4 linked regions of the Neodiprion lecontei genome follow. The main gene of each other region encodes a partner of the protein of the gene in region 2 in a complex. Links are inferred from orthologs where the notes say so. Each region holds a gene or a part of one and is shown on either strand. Other genes may lie near its edges.

Region 1 (7,223 bases), about 15 Mb from region 2:
TGTATATTCAAATATCATATTCTCCGAAATGTAGAATACTAATCAAATTTGATTATAGCTGAAACACGCGCGCTTCTGAAACACCATTTTTATGTCTTGACGCTACATTTTGGACATCGGTGTTTTTCCTCTCCTTTTTTTTAGCATAGTTCAGACCTGCTTCCTAATCTACTTTTACACCGCTCATCTTAAAGTTCAAATTTTCGTACGCTTATATTTCCGCATAAATTTGAACGGTTTCTATCTGGGTTTCTGTTTACTGTTTCATTATGAATAACGTTTAGCGCAAATCAGAGCAATTAGAGCTAAAAAGAGAGCTTTAAGATTATTTTGAACATGTTTCTGGTTGCATATTTACGCGTGTTTTGTTGTTGATGTTGTTGTTGTTGTTGTTATTGGTGTAGGACCGTTTCTCGAAGAGCAGGACGGAGAGCGAAAGATAGAGAGAGTAATGTTTGGGTGAAAGTATTTATTGCGGTACGGGATATGCCGGGGTTCGATCAAAAATTCAAGACATCGTGCAGAATGGCACAAAAACGGCGGTTATAATTGAAGCCATCAAATGGCACTGATCAGTTATAAAGCTGACAACTTCTTCGAATTCCATCTCGTAACTTGTTTATACCAGAAGTACAGTAGCGTATGCCGTAATAGCGGAAATGTAGTGAAATATAATATTCTTTTCATGAAGAACGCATACAAATGCAATTTTTCAAATATTTGATGCTGAATTGGGACAATATATAGATAATTGATGTTTATTCAGTCTCTTATGAATCATCGTGTAAAAATTGATATGTATTTTTTACCAGAACGGTAGATCTAAAGAAGGCTGCTACCACCGATCGTTGAATGAAGAACATTTTTACTGACGGGGACAACTAATTAGACTGATGTAGCCAAAGTGTGTGTATGTGAAAAAAGCGGACTCGATAAAATACATAAGTAACGTTTCATTATTAATTATGAAATGATTTATTGAGTCATCATTTAAATCGTTGGAAAACTTGCTATGGGGTCTAAAACCGTGATTGCTTTGGATTACTGAACCGTTCTAATGATCGCCGGAAGCGGCAAATTGAATGTAAATCGCGAAAATATTGATTTGAACGATATTACGAGAAACGCGGGCTGTACTAGCTGTCGTCGGTGTTCAAACACCGTGATAACATTGTAAAAAACAATAATTGTACGGCCCTGTCGAGTCGACACCGACGTGGATGCTAGGTAATACGGGATGAGAAGATTCTCCTGCCGAAGAGGAGGCTCGCGGAGGAGAGAGAGAAAGAGCGAGAGGAGAGGGGCAGGAGGATGAGAACGGAGAAAAGAGAGGCGCGGAGAGGCAGGTAGGGAGGCACGAGGTAAAGCAGGGAGCACCGTCTGTTCACGTGTAAGAAATAACTAATAAGATAAACAAGTATGTACGTATATACATACGTACCTACGCACTTATACACGTAAGTATGCACGAGAGCTGGAGAAAAGCCCGCGGGCAAATTCCCGACTACGAGTATTACATACGTATGGAATTCCATGTCGCGTATATGCATGCGTGTATTCGGCATATTTGAACGAACGTTTCGTACATATGCGAGAAATCGACGTAACTGCTCTGCAAGGTGCTGCACGTTCGCCTTGCCTTGGGGTGATCGTTATTAAATCTTGATTAACGATACTCGGAGTCACCGATTTTCCTCAGCGGCAGCGCGCCTGCTTGCGCGCAAAAACGGTGCCGCAAAGTCTGCGCCAACCAACAATTCCCAACTCGCATGTCTCTTGTAATAAATTTCTCGCTCTTCGAACGGCCGCACCAGACTGCTTGCCTCTGCCGCAGCCCGACAACGGCGACGATGCACGTATAGTACGTACGTACACGTAACACCATACCAATGGTCATAACTCGGACCGGTTATACTTGACCCATGCGTTTGCTGGACCAACTCCTACCGAAATCAAGTCTTGACTCTCGTTCACGGCGATCTAGGCCCTCCTTTACCGCATTCTTATCTCCGTGATTAATATTGGTTTTCTTATTGTAGCTGATGGGAAGCAAAGAATTCTTGTCCCATACCTCTTACTCGTATGTCTTCGTTGTCTTCCATTAGAGATATCCTATCATCGTTCGAACAAATTCCAGGAAATATAACATTCGGCGTAGATAAAAATCAGTGAAACATTTCAACATTTTCCATAATTTCCGCGCTTTTCTTTTATTCATCTAGTTACATTGCATAAACTTCTTTACATACTATAAAAGAAAATGGTAAATAAATGGGCTGGTCACAATGCCAGATGACAAAAATTTCGGAATAGTTTCACAAAAAATCCAAGATATTTTTTTACTAAAAACAAGAAGAAACTTAAATTATTCGATTAGAACACTGTTTATCGTTTTCACTTTTTGTAAGTAGAAAATGTGTTTGGGTCAAGAAATATTTTCATACAAACACAACTTGGTTTACCTATATGTATAGTTTAATGAAAATAGTTTTTTTTTGCAATCGCAAACATTGTACAAGTTATACAATGAATCAACTTTAACACACTCCAGCTTCTTAATTTATAGTTGGAGAAGAACAAAGAATATGGCGATAGTTAACGAAAGTTTATACCACTTACGCTAGTTTTATTCAAAATGAAATTGATTCGAATTATCGGATTGTAATTTGTCAAGTGCATATGATAACTGTAGTCTAGTTTGTTTATTACACAATACGAGATTGTCATCAATTCAAATTCTTCAGCTAGACACAACGTTCATTTCACATACTTTTCCATAAACTTTCGATGGAATTCACTTCTTAACGAGTCATTTATGAACACATCCCGCTTTTTCTCAGGTTCTGAGCGTGCACAATTCTTGAAAACCACATCATCGTCCCACCTCCTTCTCACTTTCATGTCTGTACGGCCAGGCTGAGCTGAATAATTGAGAAGTGGGTTACCGGAAAGGATGTTTTCCATGCGTATCCGCTCCTCCTCTTGTCTCTTTTCTATTTCCTGGTAAAAAAAAAAATGACAATTTATAAATCAACAAATCAGTGATCGCAGGGAGAGAGAATTTATCTCTATCCAGGTGCGTTACTTTTTTGGCTTGATCGGCGGCACGTTCTTTCTTTATGCGCTGAAGTTCAGCAAGTAATGCGACTGTGTCATCCTCATCGCTGTCAGAATCGGAATCGTCTTCGTCCAATGGATCGTCGGCATCCAAACTAGCTGCTGGTACTTGATCGATTTTCTGTCTTTTTGCTGCGACAGCTGAACCATCACGATTTGCAGGTTCAATCATGCGACGGTTCGACGCCTTCTCTTTTTCCCGCTCACGTTCATCCAACTCTTTGCGGAAATCACGGCTTCTCAACTCATCTGTTGTTCCCTGTCCGTACTCTCTGGGAAGACAATTTTTAGGTTATGTGAACTTTCTGGTTATGACGCGATATATTGAAAAAGCACACGAGGACAGAGATAAGACACGCGAAAATGGTATCTCTGCACTTGTACTGTTACCTGTATTTCAATTTCGTGTGAGACGGCAGATCTCTGCTCGAGTATTGTTTAGAAATTGCGCTCAAATCCTTCTCTCCGCGTCCCTGACCTCCGCGCGCTGGCTCGAACGTCGGCCTCGCAGCTGTAGTCATTTTGAAACCAGAGTATAACGAGCCTGCGAATCCCTCGGGACGATGATAAAAACTACCTTAAAACACTACTCAGATTCTAGTTTACACTTGGCTATTTTTTCGCATACGCTATTGACGTATGTACTTGCTGTGACGGGAGCAGTAAATTTTGGTTTGGATTTTGTGCCATGAACTATGGAAAACGACTAATGTAACACAGAGGCGGCAGTCAACAACCACCGTCTCCGCTACCTGCACTCGTGTGAAGTTGGCGCTGGTCAATTTGTCAGATATTACCATGGAGCATATACTACTGGAGATAGCTTCGCGTGTACAGAAAGTGTGGCGAAGGAGTGAGATAGAGCAGTTATGCCGTGTACAGCCTGTCTCTCTCGCTCTGCAACCTGGTAGGCCGATACGTGTCCTCTTGACCGAAATTCGAATTTTAAATTTATTTCTAGGTGACTGGTTGGACGGATCCCGAAAAATTTTTTATATCCGAACTCAGTAAATGGCGCATGTTCAGAAAATATGAACATTTATTTTGAGTCACGGACGCAAAATCGCTTGCTTTTATAAAAATTTCGTCCTCGCTATCGGACAGTTCGTCGTATTTCCTTCAGAAATCATGCAAAAAATTTCTCAGAACATCACGGGGCTGGATTTTGGAGGGGGGTGGCCACCTTATCGTGGTCACCGAAAATACTTAGTAGTAGTCTTTTTCTTACTCCCTTTACAGTAAGTTTAATTGTGAATTTATCATACCTATGTTGACCGTGTCTTCAACTACTTGGTTTTACAAGTATCTCTGGTGTGTATGTGCATGTATATACGCAAACATATCTATAAGATATGTGATCAATGAACCAATGAATCGATAAAGAATATATCCCATGGTGAAATCATTGATAATGCATTTATTTAATTTTTATCGATAGACGGAAAAGGAAAGTGTTTTTGTTCATCCGGTGGACACAGATCGTATCTCGATTGTTTCTTCGTAAAATAAATGAATAAACAATCTTGTTCAGTAACGTTCACTGACAACTTACAGTGGTAACGTTCCGATACACGGATATACACCTCACCTATGCATTCACACGTTTATCTCGTCCGTACGGGAATGTGAATATAAACCATATGACACCGTTGTGACTGCTTGTAAACAAATGTCGTGACAAGGCAAGCAAAGGTGAAAAAATCAAACAATTTGGATGTCACGTATCAAGTTGAGCGTACGCTATTGGCTAAAAGTTCTCGATTCAAACATTAAAATCCCGTGCCCGTTCAACACGAAACCGCAGCCAGTTGAGTACGAGTGATCAAGAGAAGCGGTGTTGGGTGTACTACGTGCCTTATAACTGTGATTTTAGGTGATTTCTAAGTGTTATAACTTTACCGGACTGTGGCTCGAATTACCCGGAACAATAGAGATGTCTAAACATGACAAAAACAACTTTACTCCCAATGTGATCTACGATGAAAATATGTACGGGAAGGAGCTACATAAAGGGTCGTTTCTTTGGGAAGGTGAGTCTCGATGAATATTAATCAACGTTTCTCTCTGCTCTCATATCTCTTGCATCCTTTGCAAGACGAAAAATAATTTAATCATCGATCGCCGACTTCGAAGGCGAAGTAAAAAATGGGTAGATCCTAAAGCCATTTTAAGTTATTGGGGATCAGTGGATTGAAGACGAATTGATCAACCCAGGTTTCGAACAACCACTCTTGGCTGTTATTTGACATAATATTGACAGAAATTCTCATTAATTCTTTCGAACATTATTGCGGGATAACCGATTTATCGTCATTTTTTTTCTAAACTGATCATTCTTTCGTATTACACGTCAATCTCAATCTTGTGTTCATGCTTTCTTTATTCCATACAGCTAATTACACTATGTTTTGTACGTACCGTCAATAGTCCTGATTCGGCGTTCAGCAATGTCAAATTTTCGAACGCAGTTGAGAGGTCATATATCACCATAAAGTTTGTTGTTGATTTTCTGATGTGCCCAGAATATGCGCTCTAAGAAATTGATGTTATTGCCGGCGGATTAAGCCCCGCAAAAGGTGACTTATCATACAGCTCTCAGTCCAGCGCCGCGCTTTTACACGGATGTGTGTGCGTGTGTGTGTGTGTGTGTGTGTGAAGACGGCATTCACATAAATTTTGTTTTTTTTTCGGAAAATCAAAAAATGTGGTATCTATAATAAACTTGAGAATGGTTCTCTTTGCGCATGTGTCATGGCTTCGCTGTCACGAGCGTAACAGAAATTGGTGTGAAAATGAAAATGCTAAATGTTTGTATACGCGTAATTATTTTTTTTTCGATTTTGAAACAAATCAAGTCTTCAAATGTTAAGACTCATTTCGATGAACCAATATTGCGACAAATATTCTTCTACTAATCTAATATTACCGAAAAATATTACTCGCTAATAAAATAACGGCCTTATAGGGGGGATAAACAGGGTAGAAATGCATTTTACGAATATCTGAGTGATATTTTATGGATAACTAGGTACGTATACGAAAATGCATGTATTACCTAATATTTCACAAAAATATTAGATTTTTCGTTTAAATAACTAATTAATTGAGTAAAATAAAACATTGCTTGTAATATACTGCTTTATAAAAACGAGCCTTCTGAAATTGATTTTATAAAATCGTTGTTCAATTTACATCACTTTGAAAAACTTTCACGAAATCAATAAGAACCTTGAATATTCGAAATTTGTTACCGGATTACGGAATTGCAATAATTTTTACTGTAAATTAGCGATGCTTAGTAATCTCACAAAGGCTAATTAAACAGTATCAAAGATTGAGGCGCACTCGAGGCGAGTTAGTACACAACGCATGTAATTAAACCGTGGTTTTCAGGAAAAACAAGCATCGGAGAAACTTTGGATCTTGATGTCCAGCGGTATCAGAATTCAAAATTCCCGTGTATGCACGGTTATTTTTTTCAAAACTCCCGTATAGTATAATGATTTCTACGGCGTTAGTGTGTTATGATGATATGATCAACATTCGACGGTGTGTAGAACTGATGAATCCAGGTAGAGTCAAAAATATAGAAAAATCAGAAAATAAAATATTCACAATATCGAATTTTTCAAATACGCGAAAATGTATTTCATAGAATTTCAAAATGTAGGAAGCCGAAGTACAGAAAAGTCAAAACGAAAAGTAAAGTATAGAAAATCAGAATACAGAACCATCAGAATACGGATGTATTCTTATTCGTTGTGATAACTTTACAGTACAGCTCTCTATACTCTAACCTTCCTACATTTTGACTTTGCTTTGTGTCAACTTTCTATGTATTTTGAAAATTCTAAAACTGCAGTGATATTCCGAAGAAATATTCATTTTTAACACTTCGTTTTTCACCGAGTGAATATGGAAACGGCAATTTCATTGCGAATTTCCGGCTGCTTTGGGAAATTCTCGTATTTTCAAGAGCCCTTCAAAATTCTCGTATAATTCCCGGTTTGCCAGGAATTTCAGGCTGCCGTATACTCTGATTTTGTGCGGCACTCCAAATTACATAACTTCAGAAATTCTGGCGAAATCTGGACATTCCTAACAAG
Region 2 (7,555 bases):
AGGGACGTAAGATATCGTATTTGAACAAAGGTTATCGTATTATTGGATTATATTAAAACGTACCATTAATGATGCGTAGAATATTTTAAATGTCATTATCGTAACCGTATATCCCACGCAATACTCAATTTATATGCGATTTTATGATCTTCTCTCATGTCGGCCACCCGTATGGCGCGAAAACCTGCACAATTGGATTTTTTTAAAAATCAAAGTAGATCTAGTTTCCAATAAACTGTTGTTTATTATCATGAATATTAAAATTGCAACAAATATATGCTTATCGTAGATTATCTATCGTCCTCTGTGTCTTTTGATACGTCAATGTTTGAGTATATTTTCTTACGCATTTGCAATTTTAGTACACCACTTCATTAGCGTTGCCATAAGCACGGTCTTACATACAGGTCTTGAAACTCATCAAAAGTTGCGTGGTGGGGGAAATACGCTTACGGTGCATTTTTTGTTTTTCGACGCTGCCGCCAGTTCGCACCACTGATATATATATACACGCGTGGTGCCGTCACGCCAATTGAACGGTATCCATTTTGTACAGATTCTTGTCACTTCAGATATATATATATATATATATGTATACGTGATATAGGTATATCTTCAGTCAACGAACTCTGATTCGAATTTGATTCAAATGTAAAATAAATAATTGACGTGCTCCAACACATGTGGAAAACAATATTATTTGTAAACTTAGCATTGAAATCACGTAAACTACAATGCCGTATTCGTTTTTTACGAGATGCGTTGATAATTGTAGAACGTCAATTATTTTCTGGTCATTGCAATCAAATTTGAATTGGAGTTTCAGCTTTTTCCAAAGATTCGACTCGCGGCCACCAGCGGAGTGCTGCGGGCAGCTAAGCATATTTCTTTCAACGAACACCCTAATGCACATGTGTGATAGTCACGTGACTTTCAGCAAGATTGGTAGAGGCATTCTGCGCATGTGTGACTTTTACGGTTTTATACGTATTGCGACAGTATAACTCCACTACTGACATACATGATATAGCGATATCTGGCCAGACCCCACCAGATTATAGTTTGCCTGTAATAATTTCTCCACCCTTGCGGCGTTTAATTTCATGTTTAAGAAGATAATCAATCTACGAAAAAGTATCTGTCAAACATGCCTGTGAGTCTATCCTTTTCAATTTACTCAAATTAGTAATACAAGACTTATTTCTGTCTTGAAATTGTCGATTTGGTTTTCCGCATTCAGGAGCTGTCAAATGGGTGTATCCCTTTGATATCATGAATCATAACACGGGGTCACAATTTAACAGTGTCGTTGACCTTGATCCAATCGACCTACTAACGAGATGTTGATAGTCAAAGATCACTTCAGATTTACTCTTGAAGTAAATCACGGACTATAATTTTACCTAACCTAATTTAACTGTCAACATGCTATTACCGTGTCAATAAATTCTGACGTGTTTTGCTTTTCTACTATTGATAGACTTTCTCACTTTCACATTATCATACCAATTTTGCATAAAATTTCAGGCATATCATTCAAGTTTTTTAGAAAATAACCAAACGGTTGGCAACATGGCATTGCTACCGTTCAAAACCCAGTTTCGAGGACCAGCACCGTCATTCAGTAACAAAGAATTAGATATAATAGACGAAGCTTTGTATTTCTTTAAAGCAAATGTTTTCTTTCGAACCTACGAAATTAAGGTAATTTTTTAATTTGTATAGTTACATTAAGTAATGTATGTACTGTACACTTATATTACTACCACTTCTTCGCCCTTAAATATTCTACAGAGCGAAGCTGACCGAGTCTTAATTTACATCACTTTGTACATCACTGAATGCTTGAAGAAATTACAGAAATGTGCAAACAAAAATCAGGCAACCAATGAGATGTACACCTTGGCTATTTCCAAATTTGATATTCCAGGAGAAGCCGGTTTCCCATTAAACTCTGTTTATGCTAAGCCAAATACTGCGTCTGATGCTGGTAAGACCATTGAATAACAAAATCAAACACATTTTCCTAATTTTTTCACAAATTGCTACCATTACTTCAAGTGTAACACAAATATGAATTATATTCTAAATGTTGTAATGGTTTTTTTCAGATTTAATGAGGCAATATTTACAACAGTTGCGCCAGGAAACTGGCATTAGAGTCGTAGAAAAGGTTTATGGAGAAGATGGAAAGCCCAGCAAATGGTGGCTGTGTTTCGCCAAGAAGAAGTTTATGGACAAGTCATTATCCGGACCTGGCCAATAAATTGTAAATTATCTTCTCTTACAATTCAATCCAATCGCTGTAAGATAGGTTCATTTTATGGCTCTTGTCTTTTTCTGAAGAGTGAGCTACATGTTAATTATTAATTGTTTTTCACACTTCTATTAACATCAATCAACAATTTTTAGAATTTTCCTGCAATGTTGAGTTCAATATGTTTAATTTATTAAGAAAAAAAAATATCCGGCTGATAGTTGTAATCAATTTTAAACTACTAAATGTTCCCTGTTACGAATTAGATAGGATTTCATTGGAAAAATATTGTGTGTAGGTAATTACAAATCCTGCAAACACAATATGTTTAATTAAATAAGGAAAGAAAAAAATATCCGGCTGATAGTTGTGGTCAATTTTAAATTGCTAAATGTTCCCTGTTAAAAATTAGATAGGATTTCGTTGGAAAAATATTGTATGTAGGTAATCACAAATCGGGCAAAACACACTTCAATTGTATTGTTTAATTTATTACAGATAAAAAAAATATCTAGCCGAGAATTCTAGTGGATTTTAAAGTGTAAATGTCCCTTGTTGTAAATTAGATAGGATTTTGTTGGAAAAATGTTATAGGTATGTAGATAATTACAAATCAGGCAAACAAATGGTACGCACGCATGTGATGAACCAACGGCAAAGGTAAAACAATTTGTGAAACGTATAAATATACCTACGCATATTCATCCCACGTAATATAATTTTCAATAAAAACTTTATTTTATATTGCGGATATAAAAATCGGATTTAAAAAATTCAGCCATAGCTTCATTTCCCGAAATTTCTCCGAAATTATTTTCGGCTAACATGCATTTCACGATTAGAGCATAAGTGTACGCAATACATCATCTTCAGTTAACGTGCGACGTGCTCCAAGAATTAATTTAAATCACTAACGCCTAAGGGCTCAGTCTCACAAGCCGCGACGCGGCATGCATTCGTTCTTGGCGCAGCGGAATTCGCGCTTCCAAAAACCTGCAATCTTATTGGTTGCTGGATCTGTGTTGCCGCACCGTGCTCTGTGAGACTGAGCCTTAAGCGAGGTCTTTGTATACAGGGTATACAAGTCTGAAATTGGTATTTAAATACCTAAATATCTACGCGGTAGAAGAAGCCCTGATTTTAAAGCTAGTTTATAGCCGCTGAAATCGCTGACATCGACTGATGTCAACGGGGATGTATGTAAAAAGGCTGTGTTCGTAAATTGACTGACAGTACTGAAAATTCCCTAGGACAGAGTCAGAGCTATCCACGAACTTGGTAGCGCAAAAGAGATAAAAGATTGCTGACAGTACTGTCAGTCAATTTTCGAACACGGCCAAAATAGATGTGTGTCCAAACCGCTCTTGGTGCTGTTTTCGCCACAAAATGGCTGAGCTTGGCCAATCGGATGCTGATGAACTTGCTCAAGACTTGGCACAAGATGGTGGCAAAGTTGATTGCAATTGATTGGACTAACAACTTTTGGGAACTTTGGTGACACGGAGGGTTAGACAGAGATGGACAAGAACGAATTCTTTGCCAGAGATCAAGCTATCATAGGGTTTTCGAAAAAATGCAGCTACGTACACATAAAACCTACTCATATATATTCATGCCTAATCCTATATGCTCTAAAGTCCGAAAGTGTTGACCTTGTGCGACTGCAGCGCTATCTACCAGCGAAAGAAACGAGGTCCGTTTGATCAACGAAACATTTCATTTCTTTGTAATCCTCCATATACAACGGTTCCGATGCCACTTGAGTGGGATTACTCTTACACCCGTATTCATATTCCTTCCTTGAGGAACAAGGATTCCTTCACGGAGTAGTAGGAAGGAGACAACACTCTGCGATAAAACTTGTCCCCAGTTTTAAGGTACCGTAAGTGGAATTGTCTAAATGCGATTTGAGCGCCTCTTACGGAAAAAAGTGAAATTTCCGCTATAAAATGTAAAAAAAAAGGGCGGCAATCATAACCTATAAGCCTCCGTTTTATAAACACACTCCGTAAATTAGTAAAATACGCATCTGAAGTGTATCCACGTAGAGAAATTAAAAAACGGGGACAAAACGCGTACAATTTTTTAGTATACGAGCAGTGGTGAGTGTCAGGGGGCTGAATACGGGTATTGGAGCATGTATAGTATATTATATGCTCTAAAGTAAGCCGTGATGCCGACCCATGATGCCGACGATAAGCCAAGTGGCCAAAATTCGAACTAAGTAACTCTCCGGCCATTTTCGTAAACGAAACGAAAGTGGCTGGCGTCCGTCGACAAACGTTGATGCAACGACACAGACTTCACACGGGTATAAATCCGTTTCAATCGCCAGTTTTTTCGTGAGCTAGTGAGATTTTAGTGTCGATTATCGGAACATAAGTGTCAAAATGTCGATCGGGGTGCCAATTAAAGTACTTCACGAAGCCGAAGGTCACACTATAACCTGTGAAACTAACACCGGCGAGGTTTACCGCGGAAAGTTAATAGAAGCCGAAGACAACATGAACTGTCAAATGCAAAACCTGACCGTCACTTATCGCGATGGACGCGTAGGCCAGCTAGAGAACGTTTACATTAGGGGCTCAAAAATAAGGTTCCTTATATTACCGGATATGTTGAAAAATGCCCCGATGTTCAAAAGACCCGGTGGCAAAGGCGCCGGCACTGCGGGCAGAGGAAAGTCTGCAATACTACGGGCACAGGGTTTGTTTTTTCACACCAATACAAATAGATCTAGAATCTTTCAGTTTTTCATCAAAATCGAAGTCCGTAAACATGTTTTGGCCTACTGAACATTTTATTTCAGCAATGTGGAATGCAATCCGATTCGAATTCATATTTCTGTTTGACTGGCAATGTTTCAGAGACTCATTTTTCTAACAAGTTTTGCACTTTTATGCATCAATATTCTTTTTCCAACGCAAATTATCACCGAATATATCTATTTTTAGCACGGGGCAGGGGACGAGGTCAAAACCAGAGAGGCAGAGGCACGGGTTCGGCCCCTTGGTTGAATCAGCAAAACCAACCAGGAGGTTCACAACCTGGAAGAGGAAGAGGATAAATGTTATAAGGATCATTTTTGTTTATCATTATATCTAGTGCACTAAAGTTTATTTAGTTCATACTTTTATAAGGGATGTAAAAAATAATTCCATGTAAACGTAAATTGAAACCGTACATGCCTGTGACAATATGTGTAGGCAGTGATCACTAATGATAATAACAATGTAAATTAATAAGTATTCAAAAATTTAATGTCATTGTGTTTACTCCCTTAGGACTTTGAACAAGAAAACAGACCTGGTGGAGAATACAACTGTCTTGCTGTATTGTGGTTTTCATTCATATTCCATTGTAACATCCCGTCTAATTGTAAGTCTCAACCAGAGGTACATGGGCAAATGCGAGCATTATTATGAATTTTCTTCTACATTAATTATCTTAAGACCTGAATGAAATACTAAGATAAGAGGAAAGATTGTTGAAAGAATCTTTAACTATGTTATTTGCGACAACGATTGTCAACACAAAAGAGAATATCTACTACGTTATAAAAATGCATCTGAGAGGTCTGAATAACACAAGCTATGATATCAAGAAAGGTTTGATTATTGTGAATTGATATTTCATTCCCTACAGAGATAGAAAAAATTCGTCTAAAGTAGTTTCAAAAACAATTTACATCTAGAGTGCATATAAATAGATTTTTGTCAGAAAAGTGCAGCAGATATTCAACAATTACATTTGTGCATTATAACTATTATAGTGTAAGAATTTTCGAATGTTTATTATAAGTTGTATGAATCTAAAGTTCCTAATTACGTACTAATTAGACACTTCATTAAGAAATTGAATGCTCATGATATTTTTAATTCAAGCGGGAACCTCCAAAACAAAAAATCCGCGAAGGACGATAGATTTCGAAAAACTGATACACTGGAATCAAACGATAATTAGAGGCTAAAATTGAGTGCAAGGTTGTGTACATGTACCTATGTATCTTTCTGTTTCAACTTGTGAATCGTAGTGTCTTGCAGAAATCTGGCAGCGCTGCCGATTTAAAAAATCTTATTATATACAGGAATAAGATGCAAGTAGATGCTCTCAAAATTGTACTTATTCGAATTAAGTGCCAGGTTGTACCTGGGGATTTAAGTTTCTTGAAAATCACCGACTCATGTGAACGTTACATAAAACAAATTGATTTTAGAAAAAAGCTCACGTATTCTGTTGCGAAAAATATCCTGAAAAGTCTAGGTATTTGTCAAGTATGACTATCGCAGATCATTTGTTACATTGCTATTATATGTTTTCATTTGAAATTTATATGGATTATACAAATGCAACAAATAATCGGCCTATTTTTTTGGCGGTTCCAGTTTGATAAAGTTAAGCTTAATCAACGTCTTTTGACATTTTCTAACAGTGAGATCCGTTCCAATGGCCCAGTAAATATATTGTTTCGTTGGTATTCACTATCATTGGCGCAAATAACATTGCCAGGGATTTCGTAACTGTTGTTTACTCTTTTCATAACTTGCGATTCAAACCGACTTGCAGAACGGTAAAATTTTCCGTCCTAGGGTGGTTGGTAAAATCGGCAAATCAAAGTTCCAAGTTCTAACAAAGTTGCACAGAGAGCGCTGAAACCCTCTTTCGAGCTGAACGACTTCCCCTTCCACTTTGGATTTGTGGGACAGTAGAGTGGATTTCGCAGCTCATGAAACATCAGAGTGCTAGCGAAACTAGCGAGCTGTTAGCTATTTATCGAACGAAATGTTGTCAGTAGAAGACGCGATAGATTTCATACGCTTAGATATGTAAGAAAATGTCAAATGAATAGGTGAAAATTGTCCAGAGAGAGAGAGAGAGAGAGAGCGACAGAGATTGTGAGAATAGCGATTTATCTGGTTGAAAACCCTAAACGGGATCGACGGCAGTCGAGCGGTGAAGAATAAGAAAAAAAAAAACGTACGACGTGGTAAAATGGTGCACATAAATAATTCCGGCAAAAACAAAGAGGTAAGCGTTGTCGAATATATTTCACTTCATTTTATCACTGCTCTTTGATCTGCGCAAGAATATCGTATCAAAATTCGCTACTCAAGTCTGAGTCAGGATTATTCTGATCGTTCCATGTTATTCAAATACGGAACGAACCGCAATTCACGGAATATGATGTGAAATAATTTCTTACCGGTTGTCAGCCGGGCATTGAGACTACTTATTACCCTTCACGAAAAATATTATTGATTTATTCGGTTCGATTAACTCAGCACTAATGATTGTGTA
Region 3 (6,943 bases), on a different chromosome or scaffold from region 2:
TTAGTTACAGACCAGTAGTTTAGAAGTCTTCAATAATTGTTGAAATAGGTTGTAAAGCATGATAGTGGATTGCAAGAAAATTGGATAACAAATCATCAAAATAATCATGCCGTAATTTTTTTCCCAGAGTCAATATGCTTATATCTACAATTGCACCAGACAAACTTTAAATAATCCGTACCCAGCACGGCTCGGTGAGTAAAAGAGAAAATGAATTATGAACGTCCGTATGTATTCAAATACCAGTAGTTTGAATTAGTATGTATGTTACAATTTTCATGCTTTTGCCTGTCTTTCAGCTAAGCCGCCACCTATTGAACCGATATATGAGAACCTCACAAAGAAAAAAAAACCAATTACAGACTCAAATACGAATCTTGTCAACAGCATCGAAACTTGTATGTAGATGTCGCCTCACGCAAACATCCATAAACCTTGCTAAGCATAATAATTTATATCTTATATTTAATATGTATGATGAGAATATTATCAGATATACTTCTTTCGACTGAAAGTAATCAACAATTTAAAGCTGCTGAGGTATACCGATGATCTATCCGAACACGTTTTCATATTTGCCTTTCACTATAATTTGTTTTTATTACGCTTATAGCAGTTTTGAGGAATTTGTCATCTTGATTCAGTTTTAGCTAGCACGAGTTGAATCAGCTTGGACATACCAATGTTTATATGGTCTTAATGTTGTAATGGTTTTGTATTTGCTAAATGAATAAGACAACCTTAAAAGCCCTGTAGAGCAGTATTGCCATGTAGTGTATGCAAACCTCACATCTTGCCAGTTTTGGAGTTTCAAATCGTTCTAGCTTCATTCAAAATTCGGAAGACTATCATTAAACGCTTACACGTTCCATTAATTTTCGTTTTCCTTTTATTATAGCTGACTATAGTAGAGTAGTTTAATTCTAATTTACTAACAGGTAATTAGTCTGAATGATAAATTTTTCGTTTTTACAGTAAAAAAGATCAGTCCTTCATCATCCATGGATTCTATGGAGCAGATTTACGAGTTCGCAGCTCATCGACCAATTTATAGTACTCAGCTAAGCACTCTGAGCACTGGTAATACAATATTTCTTATTATAGCATTTTATATAAAAATATATTTGGAGTATTTTCTGACATACGTTGCCAATCAACTTCCAGGGTTGAGGTATTCCAAATCAACTAGCGCAATCAATACTCAAGCATCACCTAGCATGGAGATAGGTATGCATCAATAATTCAATAATATTCCTAAGCTAAGGAAAAAATTTGTATCAGGACAATTTTCATAAAACAATGTTGACAAATTTTTTTCATAGTCAGATATGGAAGCCATGAGTATCCCATCTTTGAGCCAGCACCAGATACCATATCAAGCAGAGGCAGTATGGACAGGAACGTATTGCTAGAGTTTGCAAGACCTTTAGGTCTGAGAATGGACTAGTCTTTTTGAGATCTGTGTATTACGATAAACGTATGGGTTTACTTACAAGTTGGATTTAAGTATTAAATCAGTATTGTATCTTTCGGTACCCATTGTTAAAGCTGAATGTTGTACAAATTCAGTACATTGCATTTCACATTTCAAATTACATTCGAGAGTATTTATTATTTGAATTCATGAAGAAATTCTTACTGCCATCTTGTTTCTAACTATACTTATACTCATAATTGAAACAACTAACTGGACATTGGAACATAAGTTGCTATGTCGCGTTTTATTGCTTCGATGGTTATTTTTATTATTTATTGGTAATCTTGGTTAGTTTTTGTTATGTCCTTACAACTGAGGATGTGCCATCATTCAAGTGTGATAATACACGAATAATGTACCAAAGATGAAAATTTTAACAATTTTATACTCCGTTATTGGACGTACTGAATAAGATGATGGAAATAACAGTGGCCTTTGTAGATAAGATGTGGAAAATGTATTGCATCAATATATTGTACATAGTTTAACGTTAAGATAATCTATATTTGGAACTGATGTTTAATATTTTTATTAAATAATTACAAAAGATTTGAATAGAGCTAAACTATTTTTACCAGGTATCGGCTAAGTTTCGTTAAATTGGTATAAAAACGGCATAAAAGCGGTATAAAGACAGATCCAGAAATAAATTTAAATGAAAAATTTCAGTTTATTTACATGTGACGGTACAAATTCATCATCATTCTGTAACTGTTAAATAATACCTAAGCTGTATACAACTAATGATGATTAATTTATGTTTTAATGTAAAACAACATCATATATTCGAAACATATATTCAAATCTTTTTGCTGCATAATGTAATTAATAGCGATACTTTGTTGAATAATCTTTTGGCGAAACAACCAAACCTCTGCCTTTTCTAGCGCCCCGATAAACCGTTTCGATGATATCGATCATTTCCTGTTTGTCTTCTAAAGTCCAATTGATTTTATTATTGTTTCCAGTGCCTAAATCAATCATTATATGCTTGTTTCTGAAGAAGAACATGACCGTGCATGGATCGTACAACTCATACCTACAGTTCAGAAAAATTCTGTGGTTATTATTCTGAAGCTTTGCGAAGTACTGAAGAAAATATTATAGCAGCAGAGTGTTATACTTACATTTTATTAAAGTCTGGGACCTCTGTTATATCGACTAGATAAATGACTGCAAAGTTTTTTACTTTTTCTGCAATATTGTAGAGGACTTCATCCATTTTCATACACATTGGATCCCAATCGTGGCCAAATCTGATCACCTGAAAGAAATCGAAGTAGGACGGTTCGTATTAAATGTAAAAAAAAAAGTGAGCAACTAAACTTAGTTATGTGTAATTAACATACGATTTTGTACGACTGAATTTTTAGGTTATGATGACGTGAACTTACGACCACTCGGTCCTCTTCTGATAAAATTGCCTGATCCACTTGCCATCCATTGTGAAGGTGACCCAGCATATACGACATTTTTATAAGGTGTTTGATTTATTCTTGTAATTAATTAAATCCCAATTTGCGTACAACTGGGAAAAATAAATATTTACACGTACAGAAACGTCAAATTACAGTGGCACACATATAGCACATCAAGGCACTAGCGACCCTAGCGGCGTTAACTTGCAACGATAACTGCGTTTGCGTTCTCAAATGTGCCGGTGTAGCATTCGATAGCCACCAACCTTCCACTGCCTTCAAGAAGGTGAGTTGCTGACGTTTTTTTTTCGCACATTTTGTTGTGATTGAAGTAAAATAAGTACTGCGCATCGCACCGTGAACAAGGTAATAAACGACGCTTAATCACGTAATTGTAAAATATTAATGTATTTTTGAGATTCAATAGTCTACATTCACGCTGTAATTTTTATACGGGCTTACGAATCTTGTTACGACCGCATTTTTTACGAGTCACGACTGTTTGTTATCAACGCCGGTTAGACCGGTTGACCTGGTGATATTATGACGATATTTGATTATTCTGAATATTCATTTCTCTGTGCTAAATTGATGATCATTTGTAATTTTGACACCTAGTTCATTCGGACAATGATTTTTATAGGTACCAAATATTCGTGCATACGTATGTGTCAAGGTTTTTCAATTGGAATTTTCTAGATTCGCTGTACACACTATTCGGTAAACATGTCAATTATGAATGATCTGTTAAACGACAATATAAATCGTTGAAAAATCTCATCAACATTGTTAGCTTACAGATTCTAACTCACAAATTTTCTTATCCAGAAAGATATCGAAATGGCTGCTCCTGTCAGTAAAGAGCATCTAGCTCAATTGAAAGTGTTCACCGATTTGTGCATTGAAAACCCTTCGATCCTGCACCTCCCGGACCTCGCGTTTGTCAAAACTTTCATCGAACATTTCGGAGGTAGTGTCCCAGATACCAAAAGCAGCAACACCTCGGGGTATCCGAAATTTAAACCTCAACCCGCCCAGTCGAATATTCCTGAGCCTGAGCCAGCTCCGGAATCTGATGAAAGTGATATCGAACTTGATACGACTGGTGTCATCGGTGAGATTTGGTCATTTCTTTTTCTAATTTATTGAGCTTGTGAAGCCGTTTTGTTATTTTCAAACGAATAAATCTAATTTTTAGAACCGGATACAGACGCCCCACAGAAAATGGGTAATCCTACTCTTCAGCCAACTGAGGAAGAAGTGGCCGAGTCTCAGGCAAAGCGTTCCGAAGCAGTGTCCGCTTTTGTCGAAAATAACTATGAAAAGGCGCTGTCTTTGTACACAGAGGCTATTGTACTGAACCCTCAAGCTTCTTTGCTGTATGCAAAGCGCGGGCAACTGTACTTGATGCTCAACAAACCCAATGCTTGTATCCGCGATTGTGATCGTGCTCTTGAAATAAATCCAGATAGTGCTGCCGCGCACAAGTTCAGGGGACGTGCTTACAGATTACTTGGAAAATGGGAGGAGGCTGCCAACGACCTTCGTCTAGCTTGCAAAATCGATTTTGATGAACAAGCTGATGAATGGCTGCGAGAAGTTACTCCTAATGTAAGTAATAACTACTTTAACATTTCACTTTTACAACTTTTCAGGCTCACTGTGATTTGACATTAGGAATAGCATCACTCAACTTTTTAAGCTTTGTGTCCAAAGTTTGTAACAATGATTAAAGTACCGGTGAATATTTATCCCTCAAAGCGTAACAAAAAATAGGACAAATGAGAAATATATCCTTTCGGCCAATGTTTACTGGTGATATTTTTATGTCGCGTATCTGAAAAAGAAGCGAATTGTATTTCAATGTATACACAATGTGCCAATCTATTGAATCTGATTTTCTGCTACTTTTTACCCGCGTGCGAGTGAATGATATATCGCATAAGCTTGAGTATGCAGGTGATTTGTGGAAAACAGATAGATATAATCCAGTCATACTTACCTGTCTTGGCAGCGGTAAACTGTCAGGGTAATAAAATGGCAGTTGGAGATCTTGGAAATGCTGGTAACGCGATTAAGTTCTCGAACTTATGAATTTTGAGTATAGCTCATAATTAGAAAATTAAATGCTTCGATTGAGGGCGATGTAACTGCATAAAATGAAATACGCTTATGGCAGTTTAAAAGGAAAGTAGAGGGTTGCATATGTACACAAGTAGCGCTCACAGCACACATTCTTATTTAAAAATACAATTCCCTAAATTATAATCCAACTACTAATCTGGTAAAGTAGTCTTACTTATGTGTAGCTTAGTTAATAATACATTGCTTGTAACATTAGGTATCCTGCAACGTAATTACATAGGCATTTTATTGCATAATTAATTAATAGTAATAATAAAATTATAACAACTTGGTAACTTAATTGGCATACTAAACAAAATATCAACAATCTGTGCTCAGGAGATTCAACTCCATTAAAGCATTTTAGACAAAGACACAAATTTACTCGAAATTTTTTTTTCTATTGTACATGAGGTATGGTATAGTTCAGGACTGCTACACTAATGAAATATTTTATATTATTTTAGCGCCTTTCATCAAAGTTCCGTTAATGATACAGATCTTTGTTACCGATGGCAGTAAATGATTAAAATACTTCATTTTGAGCAAAAGTATGTCTACCGCAAGGCTCATTTTTGTTTAGACCCTCACGGTAATGCGAAATAGATAACATAAAACACAGGTGAAAACGGATTCGGTAATTTTTTTTAGCTTCTTATATACGAACACAATCTGCATTTACGACTTATGTTTATATATATTTATATATATGTATATATAATTTTTTAAGCGACGGAAACCTTGAATACAAGGTTTTTTTTTTCTTACAATGGAAGTATTTTTCATCTTTATAATTAATTATAAACGTAGTTTTCTGCCGCTAGGCAGTGGATCAAGATGTAAGGATATTTTTCACTATAACGTTACACGTTACAATCTTCAAAAAATTTTTTCTTTTTTTTTTCAATAACAGTCTGTGTCAGCTGGTGCACATAACGCGTACGTATATCTCTTTGTGCGCAAAACAATGCGGCGGACACGCAGGCGTCAAGGTATGATAGGCACTGTATAACTCAATGTCGATCCCACGCTCTTTGGTTACCAATTGAAATTTTTTTTTTTTTTTAATATATTGTCAACAAACATTCAATCGACTACATTGACCGTAAATGCATTTTAATTTTATCGACAGAATGGGCACCCTTTTACGAAGATTTGTTTTGAGTTTCAATGCGCTTTGGACGTGATTACTTGGCATCACATTCTATGATTATTTCAATTTCTTGCACTTTCGTTAACAACGAATAAGTGAAATAATTTTTTTTTATGCCAGCTGCCCGCAGCAAAGCATAGATAGAACCTGCGATGTACTTCGTTATTAAATTTTTATTTTTATTCTTTGTTCAATTCCTTGGTTATCTCTTGATGCCCCGTACCGAGCTTTGTGCACCTAGTCATGGATGCCATTCCTCTTAGTCTCCCACCTTGCCCATTCATTTCATGGGAAATCAAAGCACCCGTAATCTGATATCATGGGTATATCTCGATCTGAGAAGTACTTACAGGCAAGCTTTGCTGGATATCAGCAAAAATTGTTTAAACTCCAAGGCTGTTCTTCTCTTTAGTTTGGCACCTCATACCTCACTCCGGATTGTGTATGTCCGTTTCATCTCCGTGGTGTTTATCCTCGCCTATGAACAGTCTTGGATCACATCTTGGTAAATGTTGTTTCTTTTGTCCGTGTATTTCAATCTCTCGAAGTAACTTTGATATATGTAACAATAGATCGACACTGTACATTGATATTTGTATTTATTATTTTCAATGGTTGATTACATTCGATCAAGAGATGGTGAAATTCATACTACTTCGTTCCTCATTTTCTTTGGTATCCAGCATTTCACCTCGTTCCGTACTCTCAGGCTCAACTCGACGGAGGAATCGTCTCACTCTCGTGTAAAGCGACCTCTACCGATTTCTTGTA
Region 4 (10,658 bases), on a different chromosome or scaffold from region 2:
CACAAATTGTTTAAATATTTCAGGTTGGAAAAAGTCAGCATCTCAGGCTTGGTCGTTGGTTTAGAGAACGTTATTCGCATTTACTGCCAGAATGTTATACTCCTTATGATGTATATGTACAAAGTACAGACATTGACAGGACGCTGATGTCCGCAGAGGCTAATTTGGCTGGTCTTTATCCACCTGAAGGAGATCAAGTTTGGGACAAACTTAAGTGGATGCCTATACCGGTCCATACTATACCTGAACTTGAGGACAGCTTGCTGGCAAGCAAAAAATACTGCCCAAAGTATGAAATGGAGTTGCAAAATGTTATGAACTCCCCCGAGATCAGGAAAATTGATGATGATAACCAAGAACTGTACAATTATTTGAGCAAAAAAGCTGGTACTATGGTTCAATCTGTCAGTGACGTTAGTGGCATATATAATACGCTATTTATTGAGGTAATTAATCATTGCATATCTTGAATACCAATTCTCCAGTTTGACAGGAATATTTACTTATGTCTTTTTTTTCTTTTGGTAGATTTATTAATCAAGTTTTATAATACAGTTAGAGCTTCGTTTAATTAAACAGTTCTTGCTAATTTTCACGAGCATAAGTTGTTCATGAAATGCAATATCTGGGCCAAAAATTTTTTTCACATATTAGAAAAAGTTTGCTGTCAGATAAAAAAAAAATCAAAAATGAATCAAAATAATGAGGATTTTATTCATTTCATTACACATATCAATAATCAATGATGCTATTTTATCAAGATATTTTATCTTTTATGATGTAAAGATTTACAGTGAAAAGAAGTTATAATAAGAATATTATTCTACGTAACATAAATGGAAATTGTTTTCATGTTTACTGTTAGAGAAGAGTGTCGATCACTCTGTACAAAGTCTAATCAGTATTCTTCATTGCAAAAACGTGTACACTGAAGTAAAAAAAACTAATGTGTTTGTCGGTCATAGTACAATTACCATCCTGTGAGTCCACTATCTGTGCCTTGTGGCATAATCGTAGCTTGGCCTTGAATGATGATACACAAATGAACAGAGTATACAGAAAAGAATTAAATAACCTCTAGAGACAATTCTTGTGCAATTCGATATCTTACCAGTAAATTGATAACCATGTTAATGTCATAATACGCAATTGCAAATGACTGATAAATTATGTATCACAATTATTTAACATCTAATATTTTACTTTTCTCATGTTGCACAAAAGGCTGCAAATTTGTTTTGCTTTTAAATACTAGATTTTCTGCTAGCATTTAAGTTGGTGCCCTAGTCGATTTCGATGTTGATGTACGTATCTCCAAATATCCAAGTCCATGTATCTCAAACATGAAAAACTGCTTAACAGCCCCATTCTATGTACAATTCTGAATAAAAACACTCTAACATATTTTCAATCCGTGTAGAAATAAAGAAGTGGCATGGATTCTATGAAATCGTTATAGTAAATTCGTATAATTCATGCCATTTCGTTATTTCTGCATGAAATGAAAATGTGTTTGAGTGTTTCTGTTCAGAATTGTATATATGATGGGGCTGTCAAGCCCTTTTTCACATTTGAGGTACGTGAACTTCCATATTTGGAGATATATACGTCAACATCGAAATCGACCATGGCACACCCTTAACCCTTGGAACATCTTTTTCTTGAACAAATATTTATTCGTAATGAATGAACAAATTACTAAATATTAATCAGCCGTAGCAGAAACATTCGTATGCAGGCAGATTAAAATCCAAAAAATTTTCAATTCAAATTTTAAACCCTTAATGAAGAAACAATATTCCTATTATAATTCCATTATTTCTAAAATGTGGATGTAGTGACTGTTATCATAATTCAGCTAAATAACCGATATGTTATTCTTCTCCAGGTTCTGTATAACCGCACCTTGCCCGAGTGGACAAAATCTGTATATCCAGATAAATTAAAACCTTTAGCGGATTTTAGTTTTACTGTAGAAGCTCACAATAAACTACTCCAAAGATTGAAGTCAGGCAAGTAGAAATATTCATGCGAAAAGTATGTTAATCGTGTAAAATAAATTCCTGAGAATTGAAGTTTCATTAAAAAAATCACTGATTCCTAACAGGACGATTATTAGGTGAAATGGTAGATCACCTAGTAAGCAAATCAAAAAATGCACTATTCCCGAATAGAAAAATATGGATATACAGCGCCCATGATACAACAGTGGCAAACTTTTTGATGACATTAGATTTATTTGAGCCACACTGTCCCCCGTATACAGCGACTGTCCTTGTGGAATTGAGAGTGAACTCACTGAAACAGCATATTGTAACGGTAGGGATACATTCTACTGGTGTCATTATAATGAATAATTCCTCAGGTCCTGTATACTGTGCTTTGCATGCAAGTTGAACTTTTTCTAGAATGATTACAACCTCAGATTCTTCACCCTATATTCTAGATTTCGTACAAAAATACGTCCGCTGAACCGAGGCTGTTAACTTTGCCAGGCTGTGAGGTCGCGTGTCCATTAGGGAAATTTGTAGAATTAACTAACGACATGATACCAAAAGATTGGGCAAAAGAATGTCTTCTAGGCTGGGAACAATACGCACACAACATTACCATGCCATCTATATTTGGTAAGATAAATCTTGTTTAGTTAGAATCCCTCAGTTTATGTGAGATTAAAAACGTTCATAAGGTTTAAAGAAATTTTGGAAGCAACTTCTTACGGTACTTCTCTGTATGGAGAGTGCATCCATGAAAGCGTCACATGCTGAGCGTAATGCCAGACTTCCCATTATTGCAGTGATAGTATACCTATTTATACTCTGACTTGCGTGTTAATAGTATATCACTGCACAGTGTTACTATAGCTTTCTTATAGTGGACTCAACATACGACTTGCCTATATTACTGTTGCGGCAACATAAGACACAACTATATTTTTTTCTAGTGTTTTGAATAATTAACTAAAAGTTGTTTAAAGTTCAACAGACCATGATTGCGAAAAAGTTAATAAACGAGTCTACATAGTTATCTGTAAAGAATTAACAAGTACATGTAAATGCAATTGATTTGACCTAATCTTTGTAAATAATTTCGAGAAATATTCAATGTATATACATTAGTAACATAGATATTGAATTTCGTATGAACAATTTCTTTATGATTTTAATTCACCAATAGTATTCATATATCAATTTAACTTTAACTTACATTCCACTTGAAATATTTCATTACAAAAATGTTTGAGAAGTTCCTTTCCCGTGACGGCTGTACCCCCTTTAGTTTTTATTGACAATTCATACTGCATCTTCTCATTTCTAATTTCTTACTCTATTGGTTTCTATTTCAGGTATTTCAATATTGTTGCTGGTCATCATCATATTACTAGGTTTGTTAATCATCGGCGTTGTCTACTATCACCGCAACTGTGATAGTAACCGTTATTACTTTAAGTTGACGACAGATCCTATTTAATTTAATAATAAAATCCGACTTATGATTATTGCGGATACTAACACGGGCATTGGAATAATTTAGTATTATAAAAAGAAAATTTTCCAGTGTGAAGTTCGTCCCTTATTTTTATTGATCGTTGAACACACGCTCAACTTTATTCACAGGATCAGCACAAAAGTCACCTGATATGACGCGGTCATTTTGTACTCGAAATTTTTCATGATAGTGCAATTTGAGTAAGTTAGGTGTTATGGGTTAATTCAACTTTCAACTTTGCTGTAAAAAACAAATTCTATTTACATTATAATAAATATAAAACAGAGACGACAAAATTAAGATTTAGTGACACAAAGTGGTATTGTATAAATGATTTTAAAAAAATTAGTCGTGTATTTCAGAAAGACAGAATCCTCATTTTCTACCTTTCTCAAAGACACGCGCAAGCAACGCTGCGTAACTACGGCGAGCGTTCATTGCAGCACTTCCAATACGGTTACGCAGTGCGGTTACACCGCGTGCTATGGCAAAGGGCAGCCCCCTGGCACCACTGCTCGTATACTAAAAAATTGTACGCGTTTTGTCCCCGTTTTTTTAGTTCCTCTAAGTGGCGCTAGTAGACTTCTGACACGCTCGCTGACCGCGCGCAAGCCTGTCAGACAACTACTAGCGCCACTAGTGGTGGAGGTTGGCGGCAGAATCGAGGGACATTTTGCGAACCACTTTTGCAGCGTGTGTCAGGGGGCTGGCAAAGGGATATGAGTGCCCAGTATGGAGGGTAAAGCTAATATGCGTGAGCTCCGGCAAACGCATGCGGAAGGCGACTCGTACGATGCGTACTAAGTAGGCCGCTCCCTCACTAGCGCTAGCGGCGAAAATTCACAACATCGGCTTCATTTTCGAGCACGGTTTTACAGCCGGAGTACCCAGACCTGTCTATAAGACCGTGGTATGAACCTAGGTATGAATAAGTATAGATGAAAACAAACTGTAAGGTTATGCGCACACAACGTTGGATAAGAAAATGATAAGTCAGAAAGAGTATTTGAAGAAATACCTGTCATCCGACAAGGACAAAAAGAAGATTAAAAAAAAGAAACCCAAAATCGGGTCCAAAACGTAAGTGTTATCTTGTACGACTGTTTGATCGAGCAATAATACGATTTTTATTAGGTTAGATCGCAATGACCCTGGAATACAATTCCCACGATTTTAAAATCTGCAGCGCAATAATATCCATTAATTTTGCTTTATTTCCTCCAGTGTTAAAATTATTGACGATGACATTGATCTTAAAAATATGAGAGCAATAGAAGATGGGGAATTCGACATTTACAACAACACGGAAGACGGACCACAAATCGCTGGTATTGTCGACGAACGCGGTCCAGTTGACTTTTCCGACAAGAAAAGGTGGAAAATTATAACAGACGATATTGATGGAGACATAACTGTAACCAGCATTGACAGAAACGAGAGAATATCTGAGGCGATGAGCCAGTCAAGCAGAATACCTGCTCCTAATTCCAGAAATCGTTCTCCATCTGATGATGGTAAAGGCAGTCCACCTCATAGGCAAAGGAATGATTCCGACCAGAAAGAATCTAGTCGTAAGACACTATCGTCAAAGAAACTGCGTCAACATTCTATTTCTAGTTTGATTGAAAAGCCACCTGCTTCAGAGGACAGTGACTTCAGTCCACCTCGGAGAGTAAAAAAAAACAATGACTTGGAAAAGTTCACTCGACGTAGGAAATCTTTTAAAAAGAAACAAAGCCGAGCAGTTTCCAGCCCTGCAAGAAATTCCTCAGATTCTGAAAACAACGACACTAGTCCACCTAGCAGGACCAGAAAGGATTCTGATTCAGACGAAACTAGGTGCAAGAAATCTTCGAAGAAGAAACGGCGGGTTGAAAATCCTTGCAACTCCGAGGACAGCAAATGCAGCCAACCTCGAATATTCCGGAAGAACTCTGATTTGGATGAATCGATTTGCAGAAAATCATTCAAGAAACGACACAGTGCTTTCTCTTTGAATTTTGAGGATAATGACTTAAGACTGCCTCGGAGGATTAGAAAAGACTCGGACTCTGATCTTAGCCCACCCAGAAATTCAAAGGCTGAAAGAATTGATTGTACTAAACATTCGAAACAACGTGAAAATTCATTGACAAGTTCTCGGCACGACAAGCATTACAATAGAACTTCTAAAGCATCTCCTTCTGTACATTTTGAATCTTTACGTTCTAGAGGAAAAGATGAGTACAAATCAGGGAAACATAGTAATAGGAGTAATTCATCCGAACATGAGAGAAGTAATCGACAATCGAGAAAAGATGGAACAAAATTGAACAGCAGGAGAAGAAAGGAAGGTGATAAAGTTCGGTCAATATCACCTCAGGATAGACGACGAGATGGCAAAAAGGGAGGAACAAATAAGCATTCCAGAAAGGATGAAGATGACTCTGCACCTGATTTGAGTCCACCTAGGGAGACTCGGATGAATCATGAAGATTTGGATTCAGAATCCAAACCATTACAAAAAACTTCTAAAAATTATCAAGAGGTGCCTATTTCTTTGAAATGATTTATCTATTGCATTGCAAATTGCTTTTCTTATTTGATAATTTAATAAATCTATATTAGAATGATTCGAGATCTTTATCATGTGACAAAGGTATCAATTTTTGCTCTCAGATGAGTGAAGAGACAACTGGTTTTGGGCAGGCTCCAATTTTCCGCGATCGTAAAACTGGTAGAAGACGAGACTTCGCGGCAGAAAGACGCGACAAAGAACAGAAGGATGAAAAGCGGAAAGAATTGGAGGATAAATATGCTCAGTGGGGAAGAGGGTATGTTTTTCTATGGATATGTTAACCTCTTTATAGCAGGGCTGGTCGAGTTATCGATAGATCGATATATCGACCAGCAGTCAGGTTAGGGACTCCACGTAAGAAATTGATAGAACTTATTTCTAAATTTCACGTCCAATAAAAGGTTGATTTCAACTTACATTTCTCCGCTGTTAAAAGGTTAATATTACGATCACATCATAATTACCGGGCTACGGGCTACGGGCTACAGGCTACTTATTATTGTTGATCAAGCAAAGATTTGCGTTCAAAAGTTTGTACATTATCTAAGTAAAAATTAAATATTTTCCTTGGAAATGAAGGTCAGTAACAACACCAAAAAATTGTTTCGGTCCAGGTGGGGCCTCCCTCAAAACGATTATATATTTACAGAACCATCTATCACGAGAAAGAAGAATAGGTAACACAGGTGAATTACTTAAAATTAATATCTAACGAGACTTATGAGATTAACAAGGCAACTTCTGCCGATATAATTGAAAAGAAATTACCTAGTAATAACGTGGAATATTTCAATTTTGAAGAACAACACGAAGAAGTCAATATTTAAAAACAAAGTACAATAAAAAAACCAGTGTTAGATTAAAAAACTGCGACACGAAACTCCCAAGCATTCATCATGGTTAATAAAATTAAATTAAACACACAAACGAAATTTTTGAACAAAGATCTATTTTAAAACATGTAGATCCTCCAGCGTGCAGTGGAAATAGAACTAAATCAGTCAGTAGTAAGAAGCATAGACAATGAGACAACGAGTTCAATAAATATAAAAATATGATAAGAAGATGAGATCAAGAGCAAGCTCAGTCGGTAATTAGTGGTTATGGTTGATGTATTACAGAAGTGTAAATAGCGCTGAGATGTTCAATATCTTGTCTTAGATTGACCGCGTTAGGATGTGCAACAATGTTGCACGTTGTTGTTAACCTTTTGTAATAAAAGGGCTCAACATCTAAAATACTAGGTTTAGTACAATTGAAAGCATGATTAAATTCAATCGAGTGTCCAGTCAGACCTGTATAATTATCATCATGCTCATGGATGTTTCATTTATGTTCACTAATTCTTGTATGTAACTGCCTACTTGTTTGTCCTACGTATGACAAATTACATTGGTTGTAAGGAATTTTATAAACGACGCAAGAACGCTTATCCAAGGGTAGCAGATCTTTGCCAGAGTCAAACACAGACGATAAATCGTGTGATAAATTTTTTCTGACAAATTGAATATTATATTTTGAGAAAATTATACTTAAAGACTCGAATAGACCAGAAACATATGAGATAGATGCAAAGTTTTTTTGATTAACAGGTGCAACGGCTACTTCATTATTGTTGTTGGAATCACGAACAGATACAATAGACTTATATTTGTTATGTATATGTTTGTTAAGAAGGGCAGGTGGATAATTATTCTTGCGTAGTACATGATGAATCAAGGAAAGGTTCTTGTTATGAAATTCGATACTAGATAATCTAATCGCTCTATCAACCAAGCAATTGATTGTTCCAATCTTGTATGATCTGCGATGGTGAGAATGAAAATTTAGGTACCTCTGTGACCGGGTGCCTTTGTGGAACCAATCAGTTTTGAAAAGCTGATTGTCATTAATGATAAATACATCCAAAATACTGATTCGACGATTGCATTAATTGAATTTTTTGGTGTTGTTACTGACCTTCATTTCCAAGGAAAATATTTACTGCAACATTACCGAATTTAAGAGACCATTATTCATTATCTAAGTAACTTTCGAACTTTCATTTGATACGTACATTCTTATTCACAGTTTGAAGCAAGTTGAAGACCACAAAGAAAAGCTGGACAGAGATTTGTACGAGATGAGTAAACCCCTGGCAAGGTACGCGGATGATGCGGATTTGGAGCGAGAACTCAAAGCACAGGAAAGAGAAGGGGATCCAATGCTAGCGTACATAAAACGGAAGCAGATAAAAGAAGGAAAACAGGAGCCAGGTATTGAAATAAAAACTTCATAACTGTGCCAAATGCAATTGTATTTTAGATCGCAGTTCAAACACAAGTTTTTAATATGAAATTTCAGAAAAACCCAAATACCAAGGACCCTTTATGCCCAACCGTTTTGGCATTCAACCAGGATATCGTTGGGATGGTGTAGATCGGAGTAACGGTTATGAGAAGAAGTGGTTCGATGCACAAAACGCGAGGAAGGCAGTACAGGAAGAAGCGTATAAATGGAGTACCGCCGACATGTAGTGAATAAATGTACATATATACAATTTTTCCTGGTACGTCAATCAGGTTTGCTGCTTTCAAATTTCATAGGTATGCAACTTGTACTTTGGAACTTGCATCAGGAAATATTAGATTCTGTTCCTTGCGGTGATCATCAATCAGGAATAAATTATGTCGGTTAATATAACTACCATTCATCTTAGGGGCAGATGAAGCTTAAAATTATTGAAAATCAATAAATAAAAAAATACGTCATGTTTTTAATACGTATTCATTCGTTTTACGATTTACGAGTGAATACAAATACAAAGAAATACCGGTCAATTCCTGTGGTTTACCGGTTAGTAAAGAAAGAAATCTGTAGTTCAGTGTGTCGTACTACTATAATCGGTCCTTACCGATCGAGGAAAACGTCACTTATTATCTTCTTGCATCCTGATTTTTACTATTAAGCGCAATTCCAAATGAAATACCGATTGCAGAACAAATTAATTCAAAAACTTTTTGGTTTACTGTGATACTAAAGCTTGGCATTATTATTTCGTAAAATAAAACTTTTTTTGATATTTATATTTCGCAATGCATGTGGAGCTGCGCTGATTGTGATATTTTCATATGGCTGATGCGTAGGCTTTGACGTTCACTGAAGAATATAAAGACGGATACCCCTGGGTGAATTTTTGTGACCAGTTTTCGGCGGGAAAGTAGGCCCAGATGGGCTTGGGAACGTTTCTGTTTTATCAATTCTACCTAACGGGCTCGCACCTACATTCGTAGCAGCCCAAGTAGTGTCAGTATGGAAGCTTGGGATTGAGTCTGTACCACGGTCTTACTTACATACAGGTCTGGCAACGAAGCCAATTTTCTACAGAGCGGCGTGGTTCTCTTGCTGTCCGTGGTTCTTAGTGTTTGAAATAGCCATGTCGCGGCGCTGCTATCTAGAGATGCACTATTATTAGGTCGGCGCTGCATTGCGCACGCATTGATTATCCATCCTTTGATGACAACGCCGACCTGGCGGCCACAAAGTGAGATATAATAGCCGGCCGTGAAATGAACAACCCCCACTACCTTCGTTGTCAGATCTGTATGTAAGACCGTGGTCTGTACAAAGTGAGTACGTAAGACTACTTGTCCTACCACCTCCGAGCACCTCCAAACACCGCCAACTACCTCCGATCACCTTCGTCCTCCTCGTCCACCTCGTCCCCCTTAACCTCCTCATCGTCCTTGTCCTCCTCGACTACCTCCGATCATCTCCAACTACCTCCAAACACCTCCTACCAATTCCAAACACCTCCAACCACCTCCGAACACCTCCGAACACCTCCTACCACCTCCGACCCGTAATTATATTTTATTCGACACGCGCTCGATGTATTCCATAACATGAATATTCTTAATTATTCCCACAACTTTTCATTTGCTCTCACGATCTTGAATTTTTGTAGGCATAGAATCGAAACGCTGTTTTGGTTTAAGTCACAAGTGAAGTATCTACGTTGGGTAGAGAAGCAGAATTGTTTTTCGAAGTGTTCGTATCGAAAAAAATTCAGAGTAACTGTAATACATGACGGATGCGCTAATTTTGATCGAGATGAAATGGATGCTCCGTATACGATCGTATAAATCACATTTCGAAATGAATAAATTTTTTATTTTCATATCATAGCCGTATTATTGTATATAATCTAGTTTGTCTCCTGGAAAAGTATAAAATTTACAGTATGCATCACGTATTAATCGTAAATGGATCATATATATTAATATCGTACATGGATCGCATATACATATATACTTTTTGGTCTCTGCATCATTATCACATCTGATTTATTATTATTGATGATCTATGTATATAGTCTTTTTTCGGGTACCTATACTTTAATGAAATCACTGTTTTGCAACGAATTTTGGAAGAAATTTATTCTCATTATTAATTCCTTGTATCGCCGACAAGACGGTTAGTACACACAGGCTAAGTACTGGCTTGGATTCACCCGGTTTACCATTGCGAAGATCGTGTTACTCGAAAGGTGAATACAGCCAGCATCACGTCGAAATCGGTAACTCTCAGATGTTCTGCAATAAGTTCTCAACTCTACCGTTGGAACATCTCA

Evidence for each region.
Region 1: small nuclear ribonucleoprotein Sm D3 (region 2) and protein CWC15 homolog share a complex: the UniProt entries of both Homo sapiens proteins name them as parts of the minor spliceosome. The link is inferred for Neodiprion lecontei from reciprocal best matches to the Homo sapiens genes SNRPD3 and CWC15.
Region 3: small nuclear ribonucleoprotein Sm D3 (region 2) and thioredoxin-like protein 4A share a complex: the UniProt entries of both Homo sapiens proteins name them as parts of the U4/U6-U5 tri-snRNP complex. The link is inferred for Neodiprion lecontei from reciprocal best matches to the Homo sapiens genes SNRPD3 and TXNL4A.
Region 4: small nuclear ribonucleoprotein Sm D3 (region 2) and BUD13 homolog share a complex: the UniProt entries of both Homo sapiens proteins name them as parts of the minor spliceosome. The link is inferred for Neodiprion lecontei from reciprocal best matches to the Homo sapiens genes SNRPD3 and BUD13.

Annotation. Positions count from the first base shown.
Region 1 is NC_060261.1:30,137,453-30,144,675, reverse strand, and holds protein CWC15 homolog, read right to left. Parts: upstream 3,862-7,223; 5' UTR 3,639-3,861; coding exon 3,508-3,638; intron 3,390-3,507; coding exon 3,086-3,389; intron 3,001-3,085; coding exon 2,758-3,000; 3' UTR 2,688-2,757; downstream 1-2,687. UniProt on the Homo sapiens protein: Involved in pre-mRNA splicing as component of the spliceosome. Component of the PRP19-CDC5L complex that forms an integral part of the spliceosome and is required for activating pre-mRNA splicing.
Region 2 is NC_060261.1:15,627,953-15,635,507, reverse strand, and holds small nuclear ribonucleoprotein Sm D3, read left to right. Parts: upstream 1-4,266; 5' UTR 4,267-4,647; coding exon 4,648-4,963; intron 4,964-5,211; coding exon 5,212-5,324; 3' UTR 5,325-5,326; exon of another isoform or gene 5,327-5,541; 3' UTR 5,542-5,592; downstream 5,593-7,555. Other genes in the region: actin-related protein 2/3 complex subunit 3, read left to right, coding at 1,148-1,153, 1,528-1,704, 1,795-1,990, 2,112-2,266; TLC domain-containing protein 3A, read left to right, coding at 7,250-7,285. UniProt on the Homo sapiens protein: Plays a role in pre-mRNA splicing as a core component of the spliceosomal U1, U2, U4 and U5 small nuclear ribonucleoproteins (snRNPs), the building blocks of the spliceosome.
Region 3 is NC_060265.1:6,863,417-6,870,359, forward strand, and holds thioredoxin-like protein 4A, read right to left. Parts: upstream 2,950-6,943; coding exon 2,827-2,949; intron 2,742-2,826; coding exon 2,605-2,741; intron 2,517-2,604; coding exon 2,303-2,516; 3' UTR 2,124-2,302; downstream 1-2,123. Other genes in the region: receptor-type tyrosine-protein phosphatase H, read left to right, coding at 128-194, 300-398, 976-1,080, 1,165-1,227, 1,323-1,447; hsc70-interacting protein, read left to right, coding at 3,736-4,009, 4,094-4,506; uncharacterized protein LOC107222811, read right to left, coding at 6,884-6,943. UniProt on the Homo sapiens protein: Plays a role in pre-mRNA splicing as component of the U5 snRNP and U4/U6-U5 tri-snRNP complexes that are involved in spliceosome assembly, and as component of the precatalytic spliceosome (spliceosome B complex).
Region 4 is NC_060263.1:19,781,882-19,792,539, reverse strand, and holds BUD13 homolog, read left to right. Parts: upstream 1-4,162; 5' UTR 4,163-4,474; coding exon 4,475-4,569; intron 4,570-4,713; coding exon 4,714-6,016; intron 6,017-6,147; coding exon 6,148-6,302; intron 6,303-8,116; coding exon 8,117-8,301; intron 8,302-8,389; coding exon 8,390-8,562; 3' UTR 8,563-8,800; downstream 8,801-10,658. Other genes in the region: prostatic acid phosphatase, read left to right, coding at 24-446, 1,889-2,012, 2,108-2,319, 2,447-2,627, 3,347-3,471. UniProt on the Homo sapiens protein: Involved in pre-mRNA splicing as component of the activated spliceosome. As a component of the minor spliceosome, involved in the splicing of U12-type introns in pre-mRNAs.